Oryctolagus cuniculus: one gene and its partners. The protein of the gene in region 1 purifies or fractionates together with the protein of each later gene. This does not show direct contact. Links are inferred from orthologs where the notes say so. Each region holds a gene or a part of one and is shown in the gene's direction. Other genes may lie near its edges.

Region 1 (4,433 bases):
GCCCTGGGCGGCCTTCGTGCTCTGAACGCCCTCACAGCCGACTCCACGTGGGACGGAGCTCCTGCGCCCGCCCCTCGGGCTGCCTCCACTCCGTCCCCAGCTGCGCAGCCCCCTTAGGCCCTGCGAGGGCGAGAGACCACTGAGCTCTGGGCGGACAGAGCCAGAGCCGAGGTCCTCACCTGCCCCTCCCACCCTGCTCGGGTCCTTGGGGTCCGTAGAGGACTGAGCAGGAGGCAGAGCCTGCATGGGGGCATGAGAGGTGGCTGTCAGTGCAGCGAGCTGGCCTTGCAGCCCAGAGGCTGCGTCTCCTCCGAGCCCTGTTCCCCACCGGGTCCAGGAGGCAGGGGGCTGCACGGGGGGTGAGATGCTGAGGTCTGACGTGTTCTCCACCGTGTGTGGCCAAGGGCTCTGCTGTGCCGTTGCTGGCCACCCCCCTTGTCCCTATCCAGTGGTCCCAGGCCAGCTGAGCCACTGCGGAGCCGCCCACGGTGGGTCTGTCTGGGACACAGGTTCCAGCCAGCTGCCCTCTGGTTCCCCTTGGCCCTTCTCATCCTGACTTCCTGGGCCAGAGCCCAGAGACCCCAGCGTCGGGCCCTCCGCCTCCGACCAGACCCTCTCCCACCCCGCCAACCCTCTCCTCCAGCGGCGGTGGTGCCTGCGCTCACCGGCAGCGGGGACGCCACGCAGTCACCGTCTCGGGCTGGCAGCCTCCGGGTGCACCCAGCCCCCACGCCCTGCCTGCTTCTCACCTCTGAACGCTCTCTGTAGATCTATTGACGCTATCCCTGACAACCAAAAGTTTAAGCAGCTGCAGAGGGAGCTTTCCCAAGTGCTGACCCAGCGCCAGATCTACATCCAGCCTGATAATTGAGCCGATCCAGGTACCCTGCCTGCCAGGCGTGACAGCTGCCCACTAAACAGCACTCACCAACCGCCGGGCCCTGCGCGCCCAGTTAAACCTCCACTAACCCCCGTGCGCTCTTGGCTGCTGGGCGGCCGTATAACATGTTGCCTTGGCCCGCGTAACGGACACGTTCACGTGTGTGGTGTGTGCTGTGCACTGAGCGAGGTCCCGGGGAGACGGGTGGTTTCAGCTTTGGCTCCAGAAGGAGCCCAGGCCAGGGAACTAACGCGGGCTCTGTCGGAGGCCGCTGTGTGCACGCACAGCTGCCCTCTGCTCCCCACATGCCTCGGGGTGGCCTTAGGATCTCCCCCGCAGCCACACACACCCTGCCCCGTGGCACAGGGACTGAGGCAGCTGGCTCGGGGGACCCCACTCTCCGAGGCTCAGGACAAGCGTGGGGGGAGCCGTCGTGCCCCTGACCAGATGCTGCTGCTCCAGACCGGCTGCTGCTGGAGCGGCCTGGTGCCGGGGCCGTGCCGATGGCGGAGCTGGAGCCTGTGCCGGGGCCGTGCCGATGGCGGAGCTGGAGCCTGTGCCGGGGCCGTGCCGATGGCGGAGCTGGAGCCTGTGACAGACACGGACGGATGAGGGCGCTCGGCGCTCTTGCGGAGGGCGGGGGCTGTTAGAATGAGGCGTTTGGTGACCCAGCCAGCAGGGCCGCCGAGCCCCCAGGCACAGGGTCCGAGGCCCGAGGCCCAGCCCAGAAGAGCTGCTGGGAAGTCTGGGGGTGGCGGTGCTTACTAAGCAGCCGGGGCTGCCGCCCTTGCACGGTTGCGGGATCTCACGGCCAGGGCGTCTCAGCCGCCAGCCTCGCCTTGCGGCGCTCGGGCAGCCAGCAGGGGCCGTGGTCTTCCTATGTGGAGTGCGGCCGTGACCCTCCCAGTGACGGCCCTGCTCCTTCGGCCTCCAGCTGCTCCAAGCTCACGTCCACAGCTCTAACCTGGTTCTGACTCTGGGCTTGGTCCTTGCGGGGCGGGGCTGGCAGGACCCAGCGCCGCGTCCTGTCTCCCCAGGAGAGCCAGCTGTGCCGGGCGAGGGAGCCGCTGCTCTCTGGTCACGCCCTCCGACGTGAGCTCAGTGAGGCCCGCAGAGCACTGCCCACGACTGGGCGCCTGGGAGCCACCACCCTGCCTTTGGCCGCTGCAGAACTCGGGGCAAAATCTGCCTCAGCTGGCGTTTCCCACGGGCGCTCCTCGGCCTGTGCTGACGGCTCGAGTCCTGTCTGTGCCCACTCTGGCGTCTCCAGGACTCGGTCCCCAAAATCCAGTCTCCTGGGCCCTGCTTCGCTCTGCTCTCCCCAGCACGCACACGTGGCGGGGACACCTGACCCTTCCTTTCCATGGTTTGCGTGGGTCTGACGTCAGACCTGAGGCTCTCACCGCACGGCCAGCCCAGCGTGGCGCCCAGCGGCCCCTGCACTGAGAAAGTTAGCCAGCCACTTTGCGCCTGGCCGGCCGTCTGTCCAGTGCGTGTGACAGGTCAGGGCCGTGCCGGGGGCGTTTCTCCAAGCTCCAGTTGCTCATCTGGGATGCGTGTGGGGGAGAGCACTCAGGTGGGTGACGCCCACGAACTGCAGCGTTCCCAGTCCCTTTAACCCCACCCCACCCCGCAAGCCTGGGGTTCGCCAGCGGGGGCCCAGGCCACCCTTTCCTCTGCCGCATTTGGAATCCTGGCAAGGTTTTTTCCGGGCCAAGCTGACAGCTGCTCACGGGCCGTGAACCCAGCATGCGCCACCGTGCAGCCGCTGGTTTCCGGAACACTCGCCAGGCGGCAGCCCCTGCCCCCTGTTCTCCGCAGGGCCGGGGCCGAGCCTCCTCCTGGGCCCCTCCTAGTCCCAGCAGCTGATTGGAAGCGGGGTCCTTGCTACGTTGTGCCTGGAAGCCTGGAGGCCACCATTGGGTTCCGCTAGCTGCGGTCATGGTCAGCCTGGCAGACACGAGCAACTGTCCCTGTTGGCTTCCCCTGAGCCGCGCCCCCTGCAGCAAATCCCAGGCTCCCGGTCCCCAGGCTGGGCCTGTGCTGACCTGGGAGAGGGGTGCCCGAGCCCACACCCCAGCACCTTGCCGGCCACGTCGGGGAGGCGCGAGCCCCACGGCCCCGTGCTCCTGCCACTCGGCCCGCTGTTGACGCCTTGTCTCCCTTGCAGGTCTGTGCAGACTTTTGCAGACAAATCTAAACAAGAAGCGCTTAAGAACGACCTGGTGGAGGCTTTGAAGAGAAAGCAGCAGAGCTAAGCCCCTGCTCCGCGCTAGCCGGACACGCCGCGCACTCTTTAGGTTCCTTTCCTAGAAAACTCGTTTTCTGCTCCCTGTCCCCGGCCCCTCCCTCCCCGACAGGCCCCTAACAACGCGCATCCTCGACCGCACAGCGCCATCTCCCCAATAAAGCCCAGTCACCGCCCTGCTCCGGCTCCGAGGCCTGCTTCCCACCGTTCCGCTGTCAGAACTCTGGTGTCTGCATAGAGCCCGCGAGGGCCCGGTCCGCCCCGCCCGCCCCCCCCTTAGGCATAAAGACGCTGTCCGTCAGCCCCTCCCCTCCCCCTTTTTGTTACATTGGTGTAAAAAATGTAAAACAAAAAAATTTTATGAAATAACTGTGGTGTGTGAGAGACAGAAGGAAACCTGGAGGTGCGACTCCAGTGCGTTTGGGAGTTGCTTGGGCGGGGGGCGGGGGACAGGGGCCAGCCCTGGGCGGAAGGAGAGGGGCTCAGCCGTCCTGTGCAGGCTTGCCCCTGTCCCTCGGAGGCCGCGGGGTGGGGGCGGGGCTGCTCTTCTGGCCAGGTGCTTTTCTGTCAATTTTTACGGAATGCAAAAGGAGTTTTTTGTTTTATTTTGTTTTTTTGTAAAGCTTAACAAAAAATATCTACATCTTATACTTGAGCCTCCATACTTAAAAAAAGGAAAAAAAGAACAAAAAAATTAAATAAAAAGAAACTGGGACGCAGTTAGCACTGGGTCTGCCGTCTTCTTTCTCGCACGCCTCCCTCGAAGGCCCGCGTGGCCTCAGCCGGGAGGGGGAGGGCTGACTCCACGGTGGAGACGCCCCGGCCGCTGAGCAGGTGCGGGGCTTGCCGGGGAGTGGGTTCCGGAGCCCTGGGCCTCCTTGCGCCCCGCCTTCCAGACCAGCCTGGTAGGGAAACGCGGGGCGGCTGTGGAGCGCCTGCGCAGGCCGGTCCTTGGGCACCCCCGTGCCTCCCCAGCCAGGTGCCGGCACGCCCCTTTCAAGTGGGAGAGTGGGAGGAAGCAGGCTGTGGGCTTGGGGAACCCGCAGAGCTACAGGATGGGCCTTTCTCCCCCCCCACAAACCCCAGGCCAGAAGGTCCTCGCCTGCTGCCCACAAGACCCTACCCCCACCCCGAGTGCAACACAGCACAGCACACGGGAGCTGGAACCACAGAGCCCTGCACTCGCGTCCTCTCCACCCTGGGGGGTTCCAGCAGCTCTTGCCACACAAGCGGAACAGATGGGCGACTGAGACGCTGCGATGCTGGCCTCGCTCTGGTCACCGCTGTGCACCGCACTGTGCCGAG
Region 2 (4,334 bases), on another chromosome or scaffold:
TAGGAAGGCCTTTGGCACAGCAGTTAGGATGCTGTTTGGGTTGCCCACATCCCATGTTGGCATGCCTGGTTTCAAGTCCCAGGTTCACTTCTCCTCCCAGTTTATGATTTCTGCTTCCTGCTAATACACACCCTGGGAGGGATCAGTGATAGGTCAAGTAATTGATTTCTTGCTACTTATGCAAGAGAACTGGATTGAGTTCCCAGCTTCTGACATCTGCCTGCAGAGTGAACCAGTAGATGGAATATCTCTCTGTGTCTCTTATAAATGAATACATTAGGGGCCAGTGCTGTGGTGTAGCCGGTAAAGCCCCTGCCTACAGCGCCAGAATCCCATATGGGTGCTGGTTTGAGTCCTGGCTGCTCCACTTCCCATCCAGCTCTCTGCTATGGGCTGGGAAAGCAGTAGAAGATGGTCCAAGTCCTAGGGCCCCTGCACCCACGTGGGAGACCTGGAGGAAGCTCCTGGCTCCTGGCTTCAGATCGGTGCAGCTCCAGCTGTTGCAGCCATCCGGGGGAGTGAACCAGTGGATGAAAGACTTCTCTCTGCCTCTCCTCTCTCTGTGTAACTCTGACTTTCAAATAAATAAATAAGTCTTTTAAAAGATAAACACATTATAAAAAGAAAAGTTCTAGAGTCTGTAATACAACCTATGAATATGGGAAACACTATAGTATGCTGCAGATTTAAAAATGGTTAAGATAAGGGCTGGCGCTGTGGCATAGTGGGTAAAGCCACTGCCTGCCATGTAAGCATCCCATATGGGTGCTGGTTCAATTTCCGGTCCAGCTCCACTTCTGATACAGCTCTCTGCTATGGCCTGGGAAAGCAGTAGAAGATGGCCCAATTCCTGGGGCCCCTGCACCCACATGGGAGACCGGGCCTGGCTCCTGGTTCCTGGCTCCAGGTTGGCCTAGTTCCGGCCATTTGGGGAGTGAACCAGCAGTTGGAAGACTCTCTCTCTTTCTGCCTCTGCCTTTCTGTAACTCTGCCATTCAAATAAATAAATAAAAATCTTTTTTTTTTTTTTAAAACCACAGGCTTTAAAAACGGTTAAGATAGTAAGTTTATGTACTTTTGCCACAAGTTTTACGAAGTGTGTTTAGGCACAAAAGGTAGTATGAGACAGGAAATATCGTTTCCACAGCGCTTCCAGGGCTTCAGCCAGAAAGACAACTTGAGTTCCTTATCTCTTTCCAAAGGAGTCACTTCTCCCATAGGTAGACTAGAAGTGAAAGTTCCCTTAAGGAAAGCCAAGCAAGATAAGGCTGGGGGGGAGCGTGGGAGACTACATTCCCCTGCATGCACTGCTCTTCCTACAGCGCCGCAGGTGACGGGAGGCAACGCATACTTTTGCGACCGCAAAGGCGTGAGGCGCGGGACTACAACTCCCAGGATTCAAAGCGTCCCAACCTGGCTCGCTTTCTGCCTGCTGGCGTTCCCCTCCAAAAGGACCCGAGGGGAGGGGAATGTTTCCACTGGGCATCCCCACAGTGTGCTGGACCGTGACATTTCGAAAGAGGAAGGAAAGTGAAGAAGGAAAGTTGAGGAAGGCCGTCGCACTCCGATTCGAACTAGTTCCCGCGCAGGGTGGTGAGGAGTTATGCTTCCCCCTGATTTTTTGTTTCTCGGAGGCAATCGCTGGCCCCCATTGGTTGAAGACTTCGAGGGCAGGTGGGAAGTCCGGGAAGCCCCGAATCGAAGTTATCAGCCTCTCCCCATTGGCCCTCGCCTGGAGCGCAGGCGCGAGGGCTCCGACTCGGGTCCCTCGGGGCTGGTGAGCGGCAATTGGCCAAAGACCGCGAAGTAAGGGTCTTGATTGGTAGTTGCTAGCAGGAGCCTGGTTTCTTCCTTGACTTCTGCAAGTGATAGTTTGTGATTGGTTTGAATCCGCGGGTCCCTGACGGTGATTGGTCGGGAACGGCGAGCGGGCTGAGGTCATTGGCTGATGCGGGGGCCCTCCCTCCTCGGGCGGGCAGCGAATGATGAAATGGGAACGGGGAGGGGAAAGGCCGCGACGTGAGCGCGCGACCTCCGGCGCCATTTTGTAGAGAAACAAGCGGAGTTAACCGAAGAGGGGGTCGAGGAGAGCCGGAGTCGGGGACCCAGGAGTTTCCTGTGTCCAGCGCCACCGGAACCGCCTGAGGTGAGGCGGGCTGGGGTCAGAGGCTGGAGTAGGCTGGCGGTGTCAGCCTGGGAGCGCGAGTGCCGGGGTGGGGAGAAGGGAACGGGGGTGGACCTGGGGCTACAGGGAGCGTTTCCCGGAGCTCCGGGGAGTAAGAGGCAGCCGGGACAGGGAAGTGGGGCGAGGCGGGAGAGGACGGACTCTTTCCCCACGGCCCGCGGAGGCTCCGGGCGCCGAGGAGAAGGCGTTGGCGCGAAGGCTTTTGGAAGCGCACAGGTTCGGTGCGGGGTGAGACCCGGGGTGGCCCCCGGCCGGGGCCTGGCGGCGCAGTGGGTGGCAGCTGGGGCCCCTGGGCCTGGCTTCGCGCGGGCTGCACCCTCCTCAAACTCCGCGAGCTCCTCAACTGCTCCTTTTCTGTTCGGGCTCCCGGCAGGGTGCAGCGAGCTTCGGTCCCCGAGGCCTAGCTCCTCGGGCCAGGCAGCCGGATTCCGAGTTGTTAGGGCTCCCGGGTGGCTCCAGGGCGCCGGGGCTGCCGCGCTGCCCCCTCCTCCGCCCCCAGCACGTTGTCAAACCCCCCGTGTTTCGGGTGTCTGCCGGTGGGAGGGGCGGGCGGGAGCGAGCACTTCCTCATTCTCGCCACAGGTTTTTGTTCCACTCGCGCGCCGCGGCGCTTACGGTTGCTGCGGGGCCGGCCGCCCACCCGCTCGGGCCGGTGTCTGCCTCAGCGGCGGTTCTGCTCGCCCGGGCGGGGGTCGCCCTGGTGAGCCGAGCGCTTGGAGGCCTCGCGGCTGCCGAGAGACGAGCTGCCCGGGTTCTGGGTGTTACTTGAGGCCAAACCCAAACACCCCTTCCCCGTATCACTCTCGTCTGCAGAACCGCCGGGAGTGCACTGTGTAGTAGGTTAGCGAAGAAAGTGCTTGTTGGCTGTGAGCTTTGGAAAGCGTTGCGTTTAAAGTGTATGAGAAGTAAACTTCTCGCCTCAAGTCACCCGACCCCACGTCACATTTCTTGGGACTGCAGTAAAAAAGTCTTTTCCTTGAAAACTGAGTACTTAATTTTGCTGTTGCTCTATTCTATTGCCTGTGGCTACTTGTGGATTTTTTTTTAAGTGAATGATAAAAATGCTGTCAACAATTTTGAGTATTTCCCTCATGACAGCTCTTTGGAAAGGAATAGAGAGCTACATGGATTAAAAAAACAAAACGGGAATGGGTGAGTAAAACACCAGGAAGTAGGTCAAACAGAGGCAGACCAAATTTATTTTTTGCAGCGGTACACTGGGATTTACTTATGATCTGTGTTCCTGGTTGGCATTCTTACCCTTCCAAAGGTTGGCAGCACAGTATTTTAGTTATTACTGGGGTATATGGTAACAGTTTAAATAATTGTGTTTTAGGACACTGGAAATTGTTACCTTGTCTAAGGAGAAAATGGGGATGATGATACATAAAAGCTGGCTGTGCCGCATGTGGATAGAACTGGACCCTTCAACAAGTGTGTGTCCCGAGTCCTTTAGCTAGAGTCAAGGCAACCAGACCTGACCACTGGTAACTGAAACGACTTTCATACCAAAGTTTTAGTGCAGGGTTTTGTGGCGTTATGGTTAAACAGAACTGAAATGCTCTCCTTGCTTCCTTCCTCACTTGATGGGAACCTTGGCTTAGTTTTCTTTTTAAAATCTCTTTTGAATATTTAGTGGGGCTTAAGCCTGGTCTCTGGCATGGTTCTTGTCGAAGCAGAGTACTGTGATATCCCCCTTATATTAGGTTAAAACATTAAAAAACTGAGGACAGAAAAGGAAATGCCAGCTCTTTAAGAATATGGTTTAGGCCCGCGCCGCGGCTCACTAGGCTAATCCTCCGCCTAGCGGCGCCGGCACACCGGGTTCTAGTCCCGGTCGGTGCGCCGGATTCTGTCCCGGTTGCCCCTCTTCCAGGCCAGCTCTCTTGCTGTGGCCAGGGAGTGCAGTGGAGGATGGCCCAGGTGCTTGGGCCCTGCACCCCATGGGACACCAGTATAAGTACCTGGCTCCCGGCTTCGGATCAGCGCGGTGCGCCGGTCGCAGCGCGCTGGCCGCGGCGGCCATTGGAGGGTGAACCAACGGCAAAGGAAGATCTTTCTGTCTCTCTCTCTCTCTCACTGTCCACTCTGCCTGTCAAAAAAAAAAAAAAATATATGGTTTAGAGCCTAATCTCAAATTATCCTTGCA
Region 3 (3,685 bases), on another chromosome or scaffold:
TCTGGGTAGATTTTAAAATCTATAGCATTGTGCTCAAACAGGAGCTAAACCGACTTTATGTAATACACCTTCGTATATGTAGTTAAGTGTTAATTTCAGAAATGGTGTTTTTGGCTGACAGTACAGTTTTGTTTATTAAATTTATTTGACAGGTAGAGTTATAAACAGAGAGAGACAGGTCTTCCTTCCATTGGTTCACCTCCCAAATGGCTGCTGTGGCCGGCACTGTGCCATTCCGAAGCCAGGAGCCAGGTGCTTCCTCCTGGACTCGCATGGGGTGCAGGGCCCAACACTTTGGCCATCCTCCACTGCACTCCCGGGCCCCAGCAGAGAGCTGGACTGGAAGAGGAGCAACCGGGACTAGAACCCGGCACCCACATGGGATGCCGGTGCCACAGGCGGAGGGCTAACCAAGTGTGCCATGGCGCTGGCCTCGGCAGTACAGTTATTTAAATATATCTTGTTGATAATTTATAGCCCAGACATTTTGGAAAGTAGAACTGTATTCACCCATTATTTAACCATTCAGCTTAACTGTTAGGATCGTTTTTATGTGTTCCTTTCTTGTGCTGTATATTAAATACTTCAATCATGCTGTTCGTAAAATCTTAATATCTGTTTTAATAGTACTTTATATTGTAATTATATTCTGTTACCACCTTTTTTTTTCAACTTTTGGTGTAACAGTAATTTGGAAATAACTACATATTAATTTATTCTCCTAGTGTTTATCAGACTACCACTTGGTATTTCAAACCATTTATATATCTTTAAATACTGCTTTTCACAGAGCAACTTGTGATTGGCTCCTCTCGTCAGCCTTTAGACTCTTGGGATAAGGATTATGATCCTTTTATTTTACCCCTGTTGGAGGACAAACAGCCATGCTACATATTATTCAGGTTAGATTCTCAGAATGCCCAGGGATATGAATGGATATTCATTGCCTGGTCTCCAGATCATTCTCATGTAAGTAATTTTTAAATTTGTTTATTAAATCATAGAAGGACATTTTTCTGAATGTTTCTAGGCCAAGTCAAGGTTAAGAAGCAGTAGTCATTTCCCATAGAAGGAAATGCGCATAGAGAAATTCTTTGAATTGCTTATGTAAAATCAGGATAATGTACTTAGATTCGGAAGTCTTGCCCTTGAAATCAAAATAATTAGCATTTACCTAAAATTTTTAATTTTACTGTCTGGTATATTAAATGATATGGGCCTCTGAAGAATGAAGCTATTTTGTCCTGAGAGATAATTGTATTAAATCTGAGGACTAATTGAGTATTACATTTTGTTATTATTCCCCATACATTGTTAATGGACATGTGCACAGCAAGTATTTCTTTTAGGATTGTAGACTTGGTAAATAGAACAGAAGATAAGATGAGGATATGATCCAGCACACAGAAGTGATACATGTCTTAGTGACAGCTCCACTCCTTACTGTGACCAGATCATTGCACATGTATCCCTGGGTTAAAATGCTGCCTGGTGGCTGGTGCCGCGGCTCAATAGGCTAATCCTCCACCTGCCCTGCCGGCACCCTGGGTTCTACTCCCGGTCGGGCGCCGGATTCTGTCCCGGTTGCTCCTCTTCCAGTCCAGCTCTCTGCTGTGGCCCGGGAGTGCAGTGGAGGATGGCCCAAGTCCTTGAGTCCTGCACCGCATGGGAGCACCTGGCTCCTGGCTTTGGATCGGCGTCTCAGCTGAAGCACACCAGCCGTAGCGGCTATTTGGGGGGTGAGCTAACGGAAGGAAGACCTTTCTCTAACTTTGCCTGCCCCCCCCCCCCAAAAAAAACAAAACAAAACAAAACAAAACGCTGCCTGGTGGTACCCTCTGAATGGACAAGTATTCTGTGTCAGTTAAAGAAATACAAACACTGCCCACAAAGAAATACTGCATTTGACCCTGCAGGATTATGAAATTATTTCTATTAATTGGTAGCTTTTGTTAGCAACTTGCCATAGATCTCTCCAGACTCTGTTTTATTGGTGTGTAGTATATTTCCCTTTATCCCACATCCCTGATAGAATGGTATATGCCATAAGTGAGCCCTGGATAGTTGATGCTTGACAGCCTGATTAGTAATATCTGATCTAGCTTTGAGTAAAATGTTGCCAGCAAGGTTACTTCATTTCAGTGTTTTCTCTTTAAGACCCTATTTTAAGTAGGTTGTTACTCTTGAGCTCATTTTATGCTTTGACAAATGAGGAGTTTTTAAGAATTTATATTTTTTCCATTTTAACAAAGTTACATAGATTGAAATCTACCTTAATAGTCATCGATAATGTGGAGGCTCATGTTTTTATGGTTGTTTGTACACGTTTAGCATGTTATGGTCAGTGGGCTTCAGTTTTAGCACAGTTTATTTTCAGTGTACTTGTAGATTTTTTTTTTACATTCAGAATATTCCTTTTTTAATGATGTCTTTTCATGTCTAATTGTGAATTTTCTCAACTGAATAGGTTCGTCAAAAAATGTTGTATGCAGCAACAAGAGCAACTCTGAAAAAAGAGTTTGGAGGTGGCCACATTAAAGATGAAGTATTTGGAACAGTGAAGGTACAAACCTAGGTTTTCAATGATACAATTAGAATGACTGATGAAGAACTCCTAGGTAATGCATAATTGATATGAAGCTGCATGGATGAATCTATAAACCTAAGACTAAAAGAAAATGGTGGTTTTTTTATATATCAGACAAGTTAATGCTAATATATCACTAATTTTGAATTCATTCATTTGTACCTTTGACATTGAGGATAAAAGGTATTGAAATACACTTATCCTAAAATACTTACATGGTAATGACATGTGTTTAGGTATACATACAAAAATTAAGAAAATTGAAATATTTTTGAACAGTTTGTGTGTGTTTAGAGCTTTTCTGATTCAGAACGTAATGTAATCTAGTGGGTAGGACACAATTCAAAATGGGAATGTGTTTACGATTGATTGTAAGGTGGTCTTAATTTAATTTTATAAGCCTCAGTCTCAAACTGTGGTTTTTTTGTTTTTGTTTTTTTTTTTTAATAGGCAGAGTGGACAGTGAGAGAGACAGAGAGAAAGGTCTTTCTTTTGCCGTTGGTTCACCCTCCAATGGCCGCCGTGGCCGGCGTGCTGCAACCAGCGCACCACGCTGATCCGAAGGCAGGAGCCAGGTGCTTCTCCTGGTCTCCCATGGGGTGCAGGGCCCAAGCACTTGGGCCATCCTCCACTGCACTCCCTGGCCACAGCAGAGAGCTGGCCTGGAAGGGGGGCAACCAGGACAGAATCGGGTGCCCCGACCGGGACTAGAACCTGGTGTGCCGGCGCCGCTAGTTGGAGGATTAGCCTATTGAGCCGCGGCGCCAGCCAACTGTGAAGTTTTGATAGGTAGACCACTTTTGAGTTTTTTTCTCTTTATATAAAAAGTGTGGTAATTTCCTCTGAATAATTACAGAAAAATTACTTAAATAATCATATAACTCAGAATATAAAGGTTGATTATTGATAATTATAGGGCCATTCCCCCTAAAGGCTAATTACAGTTGTTTTGTAGACTTGAGCATGACCAGGTTCATTGGCTAGCATCACCACCAACAAACTTCATACAAAAGATTTTCTGATAAAAACTTCAGCAAATGAAGAGTAGGTACTCTTCTCCCTTAAAAAGTTTTTTTTTTTTTTAAAGATTTTATTTAT
Region 4 (3,685 bases), on another chromosome or scaffold:
AGATGTATTTATTTGAGAGGCAGTTACAAAGAGAGGGAGAGCAGAGAGATTTTCCATCCACTGGTTCACTCCCCAAATGGTCACAATGACTGGAGCTGAATAGATTCAAAGACAGGAGCCAGGAACGTCTTTCAGTCTACTGTGTGGGTGCAGGGGCCATCATCCATTGCTTTCCCAAGCCATCAGCAGGGAGCTGGATCAGAAGAGAAGCAGCTGGGACTAGAACCAGCACATCTATGGGATGCTGGTGCCTCAAGCAGATGCGTAACCTATGGCACCACAACGCTGGCCCCCTCTTTTTGCTCTTATGCAGGATTCTTTGCTTAGTATTTTGGGAAAATCACAAACTCAGGCAAAATCTCTGTAAACAGAAATTACAATCTAATGAGAAAGGGTGTATATAGTGTACATTCTTGGAAACTGTTAGCATGTAACCAAAAGAGAACTTAAGATTTCACTTAATCAAGCTATGACTTATAGATGAGGATCAGAAAGCCTTTATGAACGAAGTGGAAATTGAGCTAGCTTTAGAAGGTAAGTAAACTGGACACTGTTGTGTTTCTGAAAAGATACTTGTTCTTTATCACTTATTTTTATCCTTTTAATTATAATATCTTATTAAATATATGACTGCATAGCAAATTCCAAAATCATGCAAGGTCTTTTACGATGGTCGTAACTAATGAAGCTTAGTAATAGTGGTATTACCTTTTTACTTTGCGTTTTCTAGCACTGCACTCATAATGAACAACCTTACACCTTAGAGGGCAGCTTGACTGTGTCATGTTGGGGCCACGTCTTTCTGAGATTGTTTGGTTTCCTTATTGTGTTGCCTAGTGAGGTGGCTTTGGACATAATGGTTGATGTGGTCCTCTTGCTGAGTGCAGTATCTTAAAACAAGTTTAATAGAATAGAACTGTCTCAATCTGTATATTTCAAATTTCAGTGACTTTTAAAAAAATAATTGTTGTTTTCCCTTTGTTTCTATAGCTTTTGCCTTGTGAACAGTCTTCCCTTTTGGAACTCATAAAGACTGAAAACAAGGTACAGAATCCTTAATCTAAAAATGTCTTAGTTTACTGTTATAATTTGCTTTTTTAAAAATGTTTTTTCTCATGAAACTAGGTCTTAAACAAAGTCATCACTGTTTATGCTGCACTTTGTTGTGAAATAAAGAAATTAAAATATGAGGTAAGACTTTGTATTATTGTCTTAAAACTTTAAACAGATAATTGAAAAGCAGTTATGTACCTGGAAGTGCCCTAGCAGTTAGGATGCCTGTGCCCCACATCAGAGAGCTTGAGTTTGAGGCTGAGCTCTGGCTCCTTGCCTCCTTGCTGTAGCTTCTGCTGATGCAGACCCTGGTAGGCGGTGGTGATGGTGTGAGTAATTGGGTTCCTGCTAGCCACTTGGGTGGCCTGGATTGTATTCCTGGCTTTTACCCTGGCCCGGGTGTGGGCATCTAGGGAGTGAACCAGTGGATGGCAGTGAGAGCTGTCTCTCTGCCCCTTAAAAAATTTTTCTTTCAATAAAACCAATATAAGCTTATATATGCCCAATGTAGAATAAATATTTATTGAATGATTTACTTAAAGTAATAGTAATACTAAGGATGCAGTTAACAGTAGTACTACCATTCATAGAATATGTACTGTGTGCCAGAAACACAATTCATGCTTACCCTGACCCAGAGCGTACATGCGGAATAGATGAGGCTTAGAGAAGCTGCCACTTGCGAAACATTTTACTGGTAGTGATTGGTTGAATCTAGATCTGCCACATTTGCTTCTGTATATAGAACTGAAATTTGAAAAAGCTGTGAATATTTAATGTGTGCTTTTGTTTATCCTTACTCAAAAGCCATTAAAACTCAAGTAGAAATGGTAAAGCATCTTTTTTCCCCTCTTTGACACTATGTGGTTGCTCTCTCTGTTCCCTGAACTAATGGGAGGATGTGGGACCAAGAGGATGATCAGTTAAGATAAAGGAAAGGCTAAAGGAGCCAAGATACCTCTTTGCATATCAGTTATATCTTGGTTACTTTAAGGATAAAATGAATTTACTTATGTTGTAAGCAGTTTTTGAATTTAAATGAATTTGTATATAAATGATAGTCATTTATTAAGTATAGAGAAATAGGAGAGACTAGTAATTTGAAAACAATAACAATCTTTGAAATTATTTAAAATTTTTTTAACAGGCTGAAACTAAATTTTACAATGGTCTCTTGTTTTATGGAGAAGGAGGTAAGTTTTAAAATTTCAGAATTGTAATGTGATGCCTTTTTTACGATTGAAATGAACAAAAAATAATAGACAGTACTACCGCTGCCATGATTAAATAATGTATTAGTGTGAGAAATAATCATTCCAGTTTTTTGTATATTTGGTTAAATGGGTGGAAAAACTGAGTGATGGAGCAGCAATGGCTTCATTTGTGATATTTTCATAGGTTACAAAGCATTGTAACTAGATGAGATTTTTCTTTGAATTCATTAATGAAGCAGGTAATTACTTTTAATTGTGTGATTAATGATTATTTCCTTTTTCTCTTGCATGTAAAAATTTCGTTTTTAATGTTATCCACTTTAGAAGATGTTCTAATGAAAAACACTTTTTCAGTGCTGATTGAGTTTGTTAAAAATATAAATAAAATTCTAAATGTTGTCTTTTAAAGCTACAGATTCTAGCATGGTGGAAGGTGATTGCCAGATTCAAATGGGAAGATTCATTTCATTCTTACAGGTAACTGAATTTTACTTTCTATTGAGGTTTTTGAAAAATTTAAGTACATTACATAATCTTTAAAATTCTGAAACCTTTAGATGCTAAGGATGCATACTCAGAGGGTAAGACACTAACTAACATTGATTATAGTTTAGGAAATCATAACTCTTGAAAGATGTACTTGCCTTTTTAGGGAAATGGGTGTAAAAATAAGTCTGTGTAATTTCATTTATGGACAGTATTTCATCTTGCCTTTTTTTTTTTTTTTTTTTCTTCATTTATTTGAAAGAGTTGAAGAGAGAGAGGGAGACCCAGAGGGGAGGGGAGAGAGAGAGAATATCTTTTATCTGCTGGTTCATTCTCTAGATGGCCACAAAGGCCAAGGCTGGGCCAGACTGAAACCAGGAGCTTCTTCCAGGTCTCCCACATCAGTAGCAGGGGCCTAAGCACTTGGGCCATCTTCTGCTTTTCCCAGGCCATTAACAGGGAGCTGGATCGGCCAGCACACAAACCGGCACCAAATGGGATGCTGGTGTTGCAGCTTTACCTGCTTTGCCAAAATGCCAGGCCTGTCCTCTTGCCTTTGGAAGCATTTAACTTCATACCAGTAGGAAAAGACAAATTATATCACGAAAAGTTAATGGTGAGGATTAAGCTTTTACTTGAGCAATGTCTTTTTTTTATTTTTTAGATTTATTTATTTACTTGAAAAAATTATGGAGAGAGAGAGGGAGAGGTCTTCCGTCTGCTGGTTCACTCCCCAGTTGGCTGCAATGGCTGGAGCTGTGTCAATCTGAAGCCAGGAGCTTCTGGGTCTCCCACATGGATGCAGGGCCCAAGGACTTGGGCCATCTTCCACTGCTTTCCCAGGCCGTAGCTGAGAGCTGGATCAGAAGTGGAGCAGCTGAGACTGGAACCCGCACCCATATGGGATGCTGGCACTGCAGGCGGTGGCTTTA
Region 5 (3,685 bases), on another chromosome or scaffold:
ATATTCTAAGTGATTGTGCTGTGCAGTCAGACTTGAGAACCTCTGCACTAGAAAGTGAGTTGCAGGGCCAGCGCCGTGGCTCACTTGGTTAATCCTCCGCCTGCGGCACCAGTTCTAGTCCAGCTCTCTGCTGTGGCCCGGGAAGGCAGTGGAGGATGGCCCAAGTGCTTGGGCCCTGCACCCGCGTGGGAGACCAGGAGGAAGCACCTGGCTCCTGGCTTTGGATCGGCATAGCTCTGGCCATTGCGGCCACTTGGGGAGTGAACCAACGGAAGGAAAATCTCTCTCTCTCTCACTCACTCACTTACTGTCTGTAACTCTACCTCTCAAATAAATAAAAATCTTTAAAAAAAAAGTGAGTTGCTTAAACAGTTTCATATCCAGCTTGGCAAACAGGTGCTCAGCAAGGAGTGGCAAGGTAAAGCATAGCAACCGTTGCCTTCAATAATGACCTGTTGCCAGTAATTATTTAGTGCACTAAGTGATCTGACCATCCTCAGTGCGTTAGATAAAGGAGAAATAAAATAATTGTGCTAACAGAACTAGACACCTGTGTGCTGAGTTATGTGAGATTTGGGACCTTTTTAATTTACTATTTATAAATCATCTTTCCAGAATTTTGTAGAATGTAGCTCTAATGTTTGTTTCTCCTTTTCTTTTTCTCTTCTTTTCTTTGATTTATTTGTTTGAAAGGTAGAGTGACAGAGAAAGGCGGGAAAAGAGAGGGAAAGAGATCTTGTATCCCTGATTCACTCCCTGAAAAGCCCGCAACAACCTGGTCTGGTCCAGGCTGGAGCCAGGAGCCAGGAACTCCATCTGGGTCTGCCATGTGGGTGATAGGGACTCAAGTACTTAGGCCTTCATCTGCTGCCTCCCGGGGGTGTCAGCAGAGGAACCAGTTTAAAGCAGCTCTCTGATACAGGAGGCAGCATACCAAGCAGTGACTTAACCCACTGTACCACAGTGCCTGCCTCTGGCATCTGTAATTTTAAAAGCAGTCTTGGACATGCTGTACCTTAGCCCTGCAATTCCATTTCTAGGAAATACTTGGGGCAGATACCTCAAGATATGTGTAGAGATATGTCAGCTCTGTTGGTAGTGTTTACAATGATTGGCTATTATATTCAATCATAGATTTGCTTCTGCAATTAGAGTGCATTGGAACTGCATATGTATTCCTTTGCCCTAGCTCAAAAATGAACAATTTTGTCTTTCTTTATGAGAAGTGAATAAAAGATTGAGAAAGATGTCAAGAATGTTAATCTGTTGAAGTCCCTCCACATAAACAGTCAATAACATTTGCCCTTCTCCCCGTATCAGAACTCATTATAAGCCTTTAGGGGAGTTGAATTTTTGAGGGGGATTGAGGGAAAATACGATGCCATGTTTATATGCAGGTACGTCCTTTGACATGGAAACTTTTATACCTTTTTAAAATTTCTTAGATGTAGGTCGTTTCATGGAGCAGCTGGTCGATCCACAGACCTGGTTTCATCTATTGATCTACAGACTCTGGCTCTGAAGCAAGCTCATTGTTCTCATCGTCCGGACAGCGTACTCGACCCCTGTTACCATGCTGGACTTTCTAGCCGAGAACAACCTCTGTGGCCAGGCCATCCTGAGGATTGTTTCCTGCGGCAATGCCATCATTGCTGAACTCTTGAGGCTGTCGGAGTTCATTCCTGCTGTGTTCAGGTTAAAAGACCGAGTTGATCAACAGAAATATGGAGATATCATATTTGATTTCAGCTATTTTAAGGTAATCTCTTTCTGTAGCATTTTTGTTGCTATCTTTTCTATACAAGCATGTTTTCCTTGGAACCATGAGACTCTAAGAGGTTAGGTAATTATAGAGAGATTTACAGAGCAAAACTTTTGAACCAAATGTGGCACCAGCTATTTTTTTTGTTAAGATTTAGCTATTCATTTGTTTGTTTATATATTTATTTATTTGAAAGGCAGAGTTACAGAGAGAAAGAGAGGGGTCTGCCATCCGTTGGTTCACTCCCCAAATGGCCGCAGTGGCTGGAGCTGGGCCGATCTGAAGCCAGGAGCTTCTGAGCGTCCCATGTAGATGCAGGGGTCCAAGGACTTGGGCCACCCTCCACTGCTTTCCCAGGCCATAGCAGAGAGCTGGATTGGAAGTGGAGCAGCTGGGACTTGAACTGGCGCCCTTATGGGATGCCGGCACTACAGGAAGCAGCTTTACCTGCTATGTCCCAGTGCCGGCCCCTCACCTATTAACTTGAAAATCAGATGACAGTACTGCATGGAAGTCTTCCCATGATATAATCAAATTTTAAAAAGAAAAGTTTGCTGTTCTGTATTTCACGTTGACTGTTCTGCTCTTCAAAGCATGCCTGTCTTGGTTACAATTCAACTTCATTACTGTCAAAGGCATTTTATATCTAGGCTTCTGTTATCTTCATGACTTTCTGTTTCTCTGCTTTAAGTTTTTGATATTGAGGAACATAAGGACAAATTTTTCAAAAGACTACTAAGAAATTGTTGCCAACACATATGCTTTTGTTGACATTTCATGTAAATGTGTTTTTCTTCGTAGGGTCCAGAGTTATGGGAAAGCAAACTGGAAGCTAAACCAGAGCTACAGGATTTAGATGAAGAATTTCGTGAAAACAACATAGAAATTGTGACCAGATTTTATTTAGCGTTTCAAAGTGTGCATAAATATATTGTAGACTTAAACAGGTATTGATGAACTTAGTAACAGCCTATTCTAATAGTAAACAGTGAAGAGGGAGAAGGGTCACAGTAGAAAGTACATCTTTTTGTTACTACCAGATTTGCTATTTGCAATTGCCTTTTCTTTCTTGTAGCAGTAGTCATCTTTAATACTTTTGAATCTTATAATGCCTGTTCCTGTGAAGTATCATAATAAACTTAGTATATAGGTTGCAGTCCTATAGTTCAGTAGCATATTCCAGCATATTATATATAGATGAGACATTTGGGGAGGGGAAGGAAAGGAACTTAGTCTTTTAGTTAGCTTTGTGTCTTCTGCAGTTCTTAATAATTCATTATCATTAGCTTTTAAATAACTATTCCAAGCTGTTATGTCATTATTCCTAAGATACTTGGAATTCATAAATCAGGACCTTTTACTTGGAACATGCATAAATATCAACCTGTGGCCCTAAATCACTATGAATTATGGCTTATAATGCTATTTTTTAAGAGCATGAAACACCACAAACTTGTCGAAGGCCAGAATATCTGGTATCCTGTCTTGTTTTTTAAAAGTTGTTCTTTCTTCAAGATGTTCAAGTTTCTGTTAAAACAAATAACTTGCTCTGGGGCTTCGTTCGCAGATATCTAGATGACCTCAATGAAGGGGTCTATATTCAGCAGACAATAGAAACTGTGCTTCTCAATGAAGATGGAAAGCAACTTCTGGTGAGTAATGGTGACCATTTAAAACGGAAATTCAAGAATGTCAAACTTAGCGTCATTTTTTTCCTTGTAAGTCACAAATATATACAGAATATCATTCTTTAAAGAGAAGCAAAACCAACTGATAATTATCTTCTAGCCACCAAATCTATGCCTGAATTTAGAATATGAGTAAGAACAAAATTACAAGTAATGAAAGATTATGTGGAGGCTATGAGCTTCCTCGGTGTAAGAATTCTGTCTAATTTGGCACCTTGTACATAGTGACCACGTA
Region 6 (3,685 bases), on another chromosome or scaffold:
TCTGTCACGTGTGTGAATAAGTAAAGTTATTTTTCCTACAGCCTTGTTTTCTGTCATGTGCTATAATGTTCTTTGTGATAAATATGCGACCCGGCAGTTATACGGCTATTGTCCATCATGGGCATTAAATTGGGACTACAGGAAAAAGGCCATTATTCAAGAAATCTTGAGCTGCAATGCTGATATCATAAGCCTTCAGGTAAGTCGTACAGAAGTTGTATAAATAAATAGCATAAATTCCTCAGCATTAATAAAGCAAGGTTCAGGTATACTGGTAGAAGTACATGGGCACATTTGAAGTCATAGCTTCAATGGTTCTTAAAATACTGCCTATTTTCTTCTTTTATTGAACTTTTTTTTTTTTTAAAGATTCTATTGATTTATATGAGAGGCAGAGTTACAGACAGAGAGAGGGAGACACAGAAAGGTCTTCCATCCACTGGTTTCATTCCCCCAAATAGCCGTAACAGCCAGAGCTGGAAGCCAGCAGCCTCCAGGTCTTCCATGTGGATACGAGGGCCAAAGTACTTGAGTCATCTTCTGCTGCTCTCCCAAGCCATTAGCAGAGAGCTGGATTAGAAGAGCAGCAGTCTCGACACAAACTAGCTGTACCTGCTTCGGTTTGTAGCCCAGCACTGCCAAAGCAAATAGGTTAAGCTGGGTTATAATCATTTGCTCTGACAGCTAAATACTCACCTTCTGTCTCACTCCAGTGTCCCTATACACTTTTTTAATTGAATGGCAAAGTCATTAAAATTGTGATATTGCCAAGGTATAATTTTGCCTTGTCATCAGAATAATTAGGGCATAGTGGTCAAAGGATCAGACCTAGCATGTGCTATCATTGGGTTTCCATTACTTCTTTCGTAAGGACATGTGAAATCCTGGGCAAGTCGCTTTCTCCTCATGGATCTGAAGTTGTGATCTGTGAAGCTCTGTTCAACTCTTGATTCTTAGTTCACATTGGTTTGACATTTATAGGCATATATGATTGTCCATTCCTTACTCCTGAACAGTAGGGAATTGACCCTGGCAACTAGTATCTGTAAAACGACAAGTAGATATTCAAGTTTCGTTGAAATGATATTACATTTTTTAGTTTACAGATCTGTCCTTTGGAGTTACTTCAGGCTCTCAAACTATTCATATAAAGTTAGTACCTAGAACTGATTTTTGTCTTGTGTAATAACTTTGCCATTTACCATTTTTCAGGAGGTTGAAACGGAACAGTATTACAGTTTCTTTCTGGTAGAACTGAAAGAACGTGGGTATAATGGATTCTTTAGTCCTAAGTCTCGAGCTAGGACAATGTCAGAACAAGAAAGAAAACATGTTGATGGTTGTGCAATATTCTTCAAGGTAGAAAAGTAAGTCATCTTAAAACTTTTTTTATAAAGATTTATTTATTTATTTCTGGGGTGGGGAACCTTTTTTCTGCCAAGGGCCATTTGGATATTTATAGTACCATTCATGGCCCATTAAAAAAATTTTTTTTTTTAATTAAAGACTGATTTATTTATTTGAAAGGCAGAGAGACAGAAGTCTTCCATCTGCTGGTTCACTTCCCAAATGGCCACAACGGCTGGAGGTGGACTTGATCTGAAGGCAGGGTCCAGGAGCTTCTTCCGGGTCTCCCAAGCAGGTGCAGGGACCCAAGGACTTGGGCCATTTTCCACTCTTTTCCCAGGCCACAGCAGAGAGCTGGATCCTAAGTGGACCAGCTGGTACTCAAGTCGGCGCCCATATGGGATGCGGGCACTGCAGGAGGTGGCTTTACCTGCTACACCACTGTGCAGGCCCCCTGGGCCATAAAAATATCAGCAATTAGCCTGCTATAGATTTACTGAATTTCAAGTCCCGCCTATGATTGCCTTGGGAGGGTCAGACCAAATGATTTTGTAGGCCAGACCGTTGATTTATTTGAAAGGCAGAGTGACAGAGAAGGCACTCCCCAAATGCCTGCAAAAGCTGGGACTAGACAAGGTGGAAGCCAGGAGTCTAGAACTCCATTCTGGTCTCCCTCATGAGCTGATCATTATCTGTTGCTTTTCCAGGCACATGAGCAGGAAGCTGGATCAGAAGAGAAGCTGGTGCTCAGCTTGGCACTCTGATATGGGGTCATGGCATTGCAAGCAGCAACTTAACCTGCTGTACCACAATGTCAGCCCCTTCATCTTGTTTTCTAAAAAGAAAAAAGTTCTCAAGGGTCATTATTTGATAAATAACAGAAATTTATTACTCAAGAAAACAATGCTATTGATTTAGGGGTGTATTTTTTGCCTTCTTAAAAAAGATTTATTTATTGGGGCCCTCATTGTGGCATAGTGGGTAAAGCTGCTGCCTACAATGGCAGCATCTCTTATGGGTGTATTAGTGTCCTTCCTGGCTGCTTCACTTCATCCAGCTCCCTGCCAATGGCCTGGGAAAAATAGCAAAAGATGGCCTGACTGAAGCTCCTGGGTTTGGTCTGGCCCAGTCCTGGCCATTGTGGCCAACTGGGGAGTGAACCAGGAGATGGAAGATCTCTCTGTATCTCCCTGTCTGCAACTGAAGTTTTCTAATAAATAAGTCTATTTTATTTTAAAGATTGACTTGTTTATATATTTGAAGAGTGGAGTGAGAGAGAGAGAGGGATCTTCCATCTGCTGGTTCACTTCCTAAATGGCTGCAGCAGCTGGGGCTGGGCTAAAGCCAGGAGCCAAGGAATCCCTACATTTCTCCCACCTGAGTAGCAGGAACTAAAGTAGTTGGACTATCATCCACTGCATCCCAGGTGCTTTAGCAGGACGCTGAATCAGAGTGGAGTAGCCCAGACTTAAACTGGTGATCTGATATTGGATGCAGGCTTCCAAAGTGGTAGTTTATACTGCCATACCACCACACTTGCCCTGAGTTTGTTTTTATGTATTAAAAATAACCTTGTTTTGCAGAGATGTTTAAAGTGCTGCTGTTTCTTCAGGTGTTTACTAGGATTTAACTCCAGTTGTTAATTGTAACTAACCATGTAGTTAACATTCCTCTAGGATGGTAGAGGGATTCCTAAACCCATATTTTGGGAAACAATTGTTTAAAAATTACAAAATGGGATATACCAGTATTGAAATCTAAAAAGAAGATGACTACATTATCTTATAAGATTTTAAAAAAGTTATAAAGATTTTTTTTTTTTTTTTTTTTTTTTTTTTTGGACAGGCAGAGTGGATAGTGTGAGAGAGAGACAGAGAGAAAGGTCTTCCTTTTCCCGTTGGTTCACCCTCCAATGGCCGCCGTGGCTGGCGCGCTGCGACCAGCACATTGCGCTGATCCGAAGCCAGGAGCCAGGTGCTTCTCCTGGTCTCCCGTGCGGGTGCAGGGCCCAAAGACTTGGGCCATCCTCCACTGCACTCCCGGGCCACAGCAGAGAGCTGGCCTGGAAGAGGGGAAACCGGGACAGAATCCGGTGCCCCGAACGGTACTAGAACCCGGTGTGCCGGTGCCGCAAGGTGGAGGATTAGCCTATTGAGCAGCGGCGCCGGCCAAAAAAGTTATAAAGATATTTCAAGGTGTTATTTGTGTTGGTCACAAACTGAGAAGAGCTTTAAATGGATGTGGGATACTTGATAATAGTTTGGAAGGTTTTCCAAAATTTGATTTAAGTGGTAATCTGTTAAGGGAGTTTGAGTAGCTACATTTCCCACATAGTTTT
Region 7 (3,685 bases), on another chromosome or scaffold:
ATGCCTGCAACAGCTAGGACTGAGCCAGGCCAAAGCCAGGAGCCTGGAACTCAATCCATCTCTCCCATGTGGGTGTCAGAGACTCAGCTGCTTGAGCCATCGCCAGCTACCTCCCAGGTGCACATTAGCGAGGAGCTGGAATTGGAAGCAGAGCTGGGACTTAAACCCAGGCACTCTGATTTTTCCCATGATTTTTTTTTTTTAACCATGAAAGAGAAAGCAGATGAGTTGTGTAACGCATATTCCGAATCGTGCCACTTCCCCTATCTCTGGTTCTCATACTTTACTTCCCACTGGCTTAAGAAATCATTCTTAAGATGCGAGCACCTGCAGCCACTACTTGCAAAACAGGGAGGGCTTCCAGACTGAAGGAGGAGGCTCCTGTTCCAGTGGGGGTGTCTTAGAGCTCCCTTGACCCCCCTTGCTCTGGGGCTCATGCGTTTGTTTATTTGTCTTTTTGCAGAGGTGGAGTTCAATGTATCAGAAGCATTTGTGCCTCTTGCCACCCCAAATTCTAATCACTCATCCCACACTGGAAACGACTCTGACTCAGGGACCCTGGAAAGGAAGCGGCCTGCCAGCATGGCGGTGATGGAAGGAGACTTGGTGAAGAAGGAGAGGTGTGTTGAGAGCTGGTCACTTCCAAACCAGCAGTAGATTCCATGCGGGAGAATCGTTAGGCCTGCAGTATCTCGTCTGGGCACAGTGAGCCTGTGATTCGAGAGTGGCCCCTGTGCATCTGTGACTGGAAGAACCCACGCAGTTTTCATGTTGTAGCTCATTCTGAGCCTTAGCCTGACTGTAGAGTAAAACATGTAGCTTGTCAGCTAACATGTGAGCTTAACTTGGTGGTCTCTGGGCAGCCCCACAGTGGAACGGCATCATACACACGCTACAAATCCACCCAACAAGAGAGGAAGGAAAAATAATTAAATAGTGTGGACTTGTGTCTGGGATGAATGTGAGAACAGCTCACCTCTCTCCGTGAGTTGTGTGATTTGACATTGGGTGGACATTGGGTGGCTTCACAGTCAAGCCAGCCACTGAATTTGACGTTCAGGCGAAGCCTCAGTATTTGCCAATTCGGGAAGGAAAGGGTGGTTGGGCCGAGTGAGAAGCAGTATTTCCCTATATGCTTTGTGGGAAATTTGTGGGACTCTCTGAGGGTAATTAAAACCTTGTGAATTTCTGGCCTTCAGCTGCCAGCCTTCCCAGTGTGTATGATGCAATGCTGCTGTATTCACCTGTAATACAAAGAGCTAAGAGGCCTTCAGAAGGAACGCGCTTTCCTTGCATATATGTAACAATATTGCTGCAAATAGTTTCACAAACTGAACAATATGCTCTTGTTTTTTTCTTAATCAGCAAGTCCTACAGCAAAATGTTTGTTTTGTTTTGCTTTGTTTGGGGTTTTTATGCTTAGCAAAGGAAAATGTTTTACTGTGCTATTCTGTCGCTCTGAAACCTACAGTTATTCCGTACAGAAGTTTTGCTCATCTGAGCCCTTCCTCACACACATCAGTAGTGTTTCCTAAAGACAGACGCTACCTGTGACAAAATAAGCTTTCATAGACTTTAAGTTGTAAAATGCAGTGCTCTGAGTCCAGTGAGCCTGTGACACACACTTGTCAGCCGCCCGCCTGGGTGCCAGCCCACCCAGTAAACATGAGTCCAGGGGCCATGGAAACTTTCAAGCCCAGGGGCTTGAAAACTTGAGTTTTCAAGTTCGGATACCAAGGGCTTCTGTGAGAAGCGAGTCTGCCTTCCGTGCGGTTCTCCAGACACCAGGCCCTTCCCAAAGCGCTATCTTCCAGGCTTATGCGTCTTTGCGTTTTCACAGGCAGCTGTGAAAGCTTGCCCATCGCATCCTAGCGTCAGGACCTCCCACTGCCACCAGGTGGCATCCTGGCCTCAGCCTCCACCACACTCCCCGAGCACAGTTTTGAGATGGAATTCGGTAGTGTAGAAATAAACACCTTAGCATCCTGCCACTCGGGACAAGCCTGCCCGTTTGCTCTCAGCTGCTTCCGCCTGGGACGTTGTCCGCGCTGCATCTGTTGGCTTGGCTCAGATTTGAAGCCAAGTTGAGTTGCAGGCCTCGGTGACAGGGGTGACCATTGATCTGGTCTGTGCCGCTTCGCTGCATGCCGGGCAACTTGGGTGGCCGTCCCACGTGTGGTTTGAACACGTGTGGACCGATGGGCTTCTGTCTCCGTGGTCGGCTCGCATGGTGTGTTGACTGTTTCTTCTCTCTGTGTAGCTTTGGTGTGAAGCTTATGGACTTCCAGGCCCACCGGCGGGGTGGCACTCTAAATAGAAAGCACATGTCCCCCGCTTTCCAGCCGCCACTCCCACCCACAGATGGCAGCACCTTGGCTCCAGCGGGCCCAGAGACCCCTCCCCAGGGCTCTAGGGCTGAAAGCAGCTCAGGGGGTGGGACTGTTCCCTCCTCTGCGGGCACACTGGAGCAGGGGCTGAGCCCGGGCGACAGCAGGTAAGGAGGCCGACTTCTGCTGGGAGTGGAGGCTGGGGGCCCCGGGGCTCTTGGCACGTGGTCACCTTTGGGTCTGGCATCCACGCCCAAAGAACCACTGTGGTATGGAGTGACCCAGATTTGCTTTCACTCCTCCAGTTGGCAAAGGACGGAAGAAGGACTGCAAATCCCTTGCTTCCTTTTCTGTTTTGTGGGGAAAAAAAAAAAAAAAAAAAAGGCAGCACTTGTGTACATTCTTTGCCATGCTGCTTTGGTGCTGGAAGCCAGCAGGTGTCTAACAGTAGGACAGACTTTGTTTCCTTGTCTGATGTGTAACTGTGTGACATTTGCTTCTTGTCCTCCATTGTGCTAACTAGTCAGCATTTCAGTGTAGCGGCTTGTCAGGTCATAATATTCCCGGCATTCATTGTTTCATTTAATCAGACATCTGTGGAGTAACTGGTACGTGCCAGGCATCATGCAGGCACAGGAGGTGACTGTGACTTCCCACACCCCTTGGGTCTTTCAGTTCTGCATGGAAATTGACACATAAGTAAAAGTTAGAAAATACAGTGGTTTTTTTTTTTTAAAAAAAAAAAAGGCTTATTAGGTTGCTTAACCATTTGAAAAACCACCAAGAGTGGGCTCAGATGTATAGCAACTCTACAAGAAGGTGCCTTCGAACCTGAGATCTTCACTTAATTTGTGTTCTTTCAGTTCCCCACGCTGCCCTGAGCAGATGGCCCCCGAGGCCACTGCAGGTGGTGTCTGTCCTGCAAAAGAGCCCTGCTGTGTGCTGGAGTTTCCTTGCCATTTGCTTTGTGTTGGCCACCTGCAAAGCACTAAGTGTATTTGAAATAAAATGTGAAGGGTCTCTAACAAGTTCATGGAAAATGTGCATTATGATAAACATATGCTTGGGTTTCAACTTTTTTTGCACCAAAATAACCATCTTTTAACTCTTTTTCCATGAACTTTCGGAAATCCCCTCATTAAAGTGTGTGAAACCAGGCTGGCCTGTTTACCCATACGTTTTTCCCCCGGGCGCGGAGATGCATGTGCCTGGGGAGATTCCTTGCAGTGGCTGAGGGAGAGCCCACAGGCTGTGAGTCTGCTTGTGTTCGGTCACCACTGGCCTCTGGATGCCTTATGCGTTCCGAATCCCTTCTTTACTCACGGAAAGCGAGGAAGCTCACGTTTTGCTTAAGAAAC

Evidence for each region.
Region 2: the proteins of CAPZB (region 1) and CNOT1 purify together in Homo sapiens (affinity purification with mass spectrometry; 5 studies listed by BioGRID and IntAct, with this or other methods). This does not show direct contact. The link is inferred for Oryctolagus cuniculus from reciprocal best matches to the Homo sapiens genes CAPZB and CNOT1.
Region 3: the proteins of CAPZB (region 1) and TWF1 purify together in Homo sapiens (affinity purification with mass spectrometry; 3 studies listed by BioGRID and IntAct, with this or other methods). This does not show direct contact. The link is inferred for Oryctolagus cuniculus from reciprocal best matches to the Homo sapiens genes CAPZB and TWF1.
Region 4: the proteins of CAPZB (region 1) and WASHC4 purify together in Homo sapiens (co-immunoprecipitation; 4 studies listed by BioGRID and IntAct, with this or other methods). This does not show direct contact. The link is inferred for Oryctolagus cuniculus from reciprocal best matches to the Homo sapiens genes CAPZB and WASHC4.
Region 5: the proteins of CAPZB (region 1) and WASHC5 purify together in Homo sapiens (co-immunoprecipitation; 4 studies listed by BioGRID and IntAct, counting the BioPlex papers as one, with this or other methods). This does not show direct contact. The link is inferred for Oryctolagus cuniculus from reciprocal best matches to the Homo sapiens genes CAPZB and WASHC5.
Region 6: the proteins of CAPZB (region 1) and CNOT6 purify together in Homo sapiens (co-immunoprecipitation; 3 studies listed by BioGRID and IntAct, with this or other methods). This does not show direct contact. The link is inferred for Oryctolagus cuniculus from reciprocal best matches to the Homo sapiens genes CAPZB and CNOT6.
Region 7: the proteins of CAPZB (region 1) and rho GTPase-activating protein 17 purify together in Homo sapiens (affinity purification with mass spectrometry; 3 studies listed by BioGRID and IntAct, with this or other methods). This does not show direct contact. The link is inferred for Oryctolagus cuniculus from reciprocal best matches to the Homo sapiens genes CAPZB and ARHGAP17.

What each region holds. Positions count from the first base shown.
Region 1 is NC_091438.1:151,256,967-151,261,399, forward strand, and holds the end of CAPZB (F-actin-capping protein subunit beta), read left to right. Parts: intron 1-768; coding exon 769-871; 3' UTR 872-881; intron 882-3,050; coding exon of another isoform or gene 3,051-3,138; 3' UTR 3,139-3,851; downstream 3,852-4,433. UniProt on the Homo sapiens protein: F-actin-capping proteins bind in a Ca(2+)-independent manner to the fast growing ends of actin filaments (barbed end) thereby blocking the exchange of subunits at these ends.
Region 2 is NC_091449.1:41,893,951-41,898,284, reverse strand, and holds the start of CNOT1 (CCR4-NOT transcription complex subunit 1), read left to right. Parts: upstream 1-1,476; 5' UTR 1,477-1,593; intron 1,594-1,977; exon of another isoform or gene 1,978-2,146; intron 2,147-4,334.
Region 3 is NC_091440.1:134,928,666-134,932,350, reverse strand, and holds part of TWF1 (twinfilin-1), read left to right. Parts: intron 1-790; coding exon 791-969; intron 970-2,467; coding exon 2,468-2,563; intron 2,564-3,685. UniProt on the Homo sapiens protein: Actin-binding protein involved in motile and morphological processes. Inhibits actin polymerization, likely by sequestering G-actin. By capping the barbed ends of filaments, it also regulates motility.
Region 4 is NC_091442.1:107,794,191-107,797,875, forward strand, and holds part of WASHC4 (WASH complex subunit 4), read left to right. Parts: intron 1-990; coding exon 991-1,044; intron 1,045-1,125; coding exon 1,126-1,191; intron 1,192-2,200; coding exon 2,201-2,246; intron 2,247-2,676; coding exon 2,677-2,744; intron 2,745-3,685. UniProt on the Homo sapiens protein: Acts as a component of the WASH core complex that functions as a nucleation-promoting factor (NPF) at the surface of endosomes, where it recruits and activates the Arp2/3 complex to induce actin polymerization, playing a key role in the fission of tubules that serve as transport intermediates during endosome sorting.
Region 5 is NC_091437.1:150,727,710-150,731,394, reverse strand, and holds part of WASHC5 (WASH complex subunit 5), read left to right. Parts: intron 1-1,445; 5' UTR 1,446-1,573; coding exon 1,574-1,759; intron 1,760-2,563; coding exon 2,564-2,709; intron 2,710-3,329; coding exon 3,330-3,414; intron 3,415-3,685. UniProt on the Homo sapiens protein: Acts as a component of the WASH core complex that functions as a nucleation-promoting factor (NPF) at the surface of endosomes, where it recruits and activates the Arp2/3 complex to induce actin polymerization, playing a key role in the fission of tubules that serve as transport intermediates during endosome sorting.
Region 6 is NC_091437.1:66,992,835-66,996,519, reverse strand, and holds part of CNOT6 (CCR4-NOT transcription complex subunit 6), read left to right. Parts: intron 1-41; coding exon 42-199; intron 200-1,212; coding exon 1,213-1,367; intron 1,368-3,685. UniProt on the Homo sapiens protein: Poly(A) nuclease with 3'-5' RNase activity.
Region 7 is NC_091450.1:14,555,017-14,558,701, forward strand, and holds part of rho GTPase-activating protein 17, read left to right. Parts: intron 1-463; coding exon 464-620; intron 621-2,260; coding exon 2,261-2,494; intron 2,495-3,685. UniProt on the Homo sapiens protein: Rho GTPase-activating protein involved in the maintenance of tight junction by regulating the activity of CDC42, thereby playing a central role in apical polarity of epithelial cells.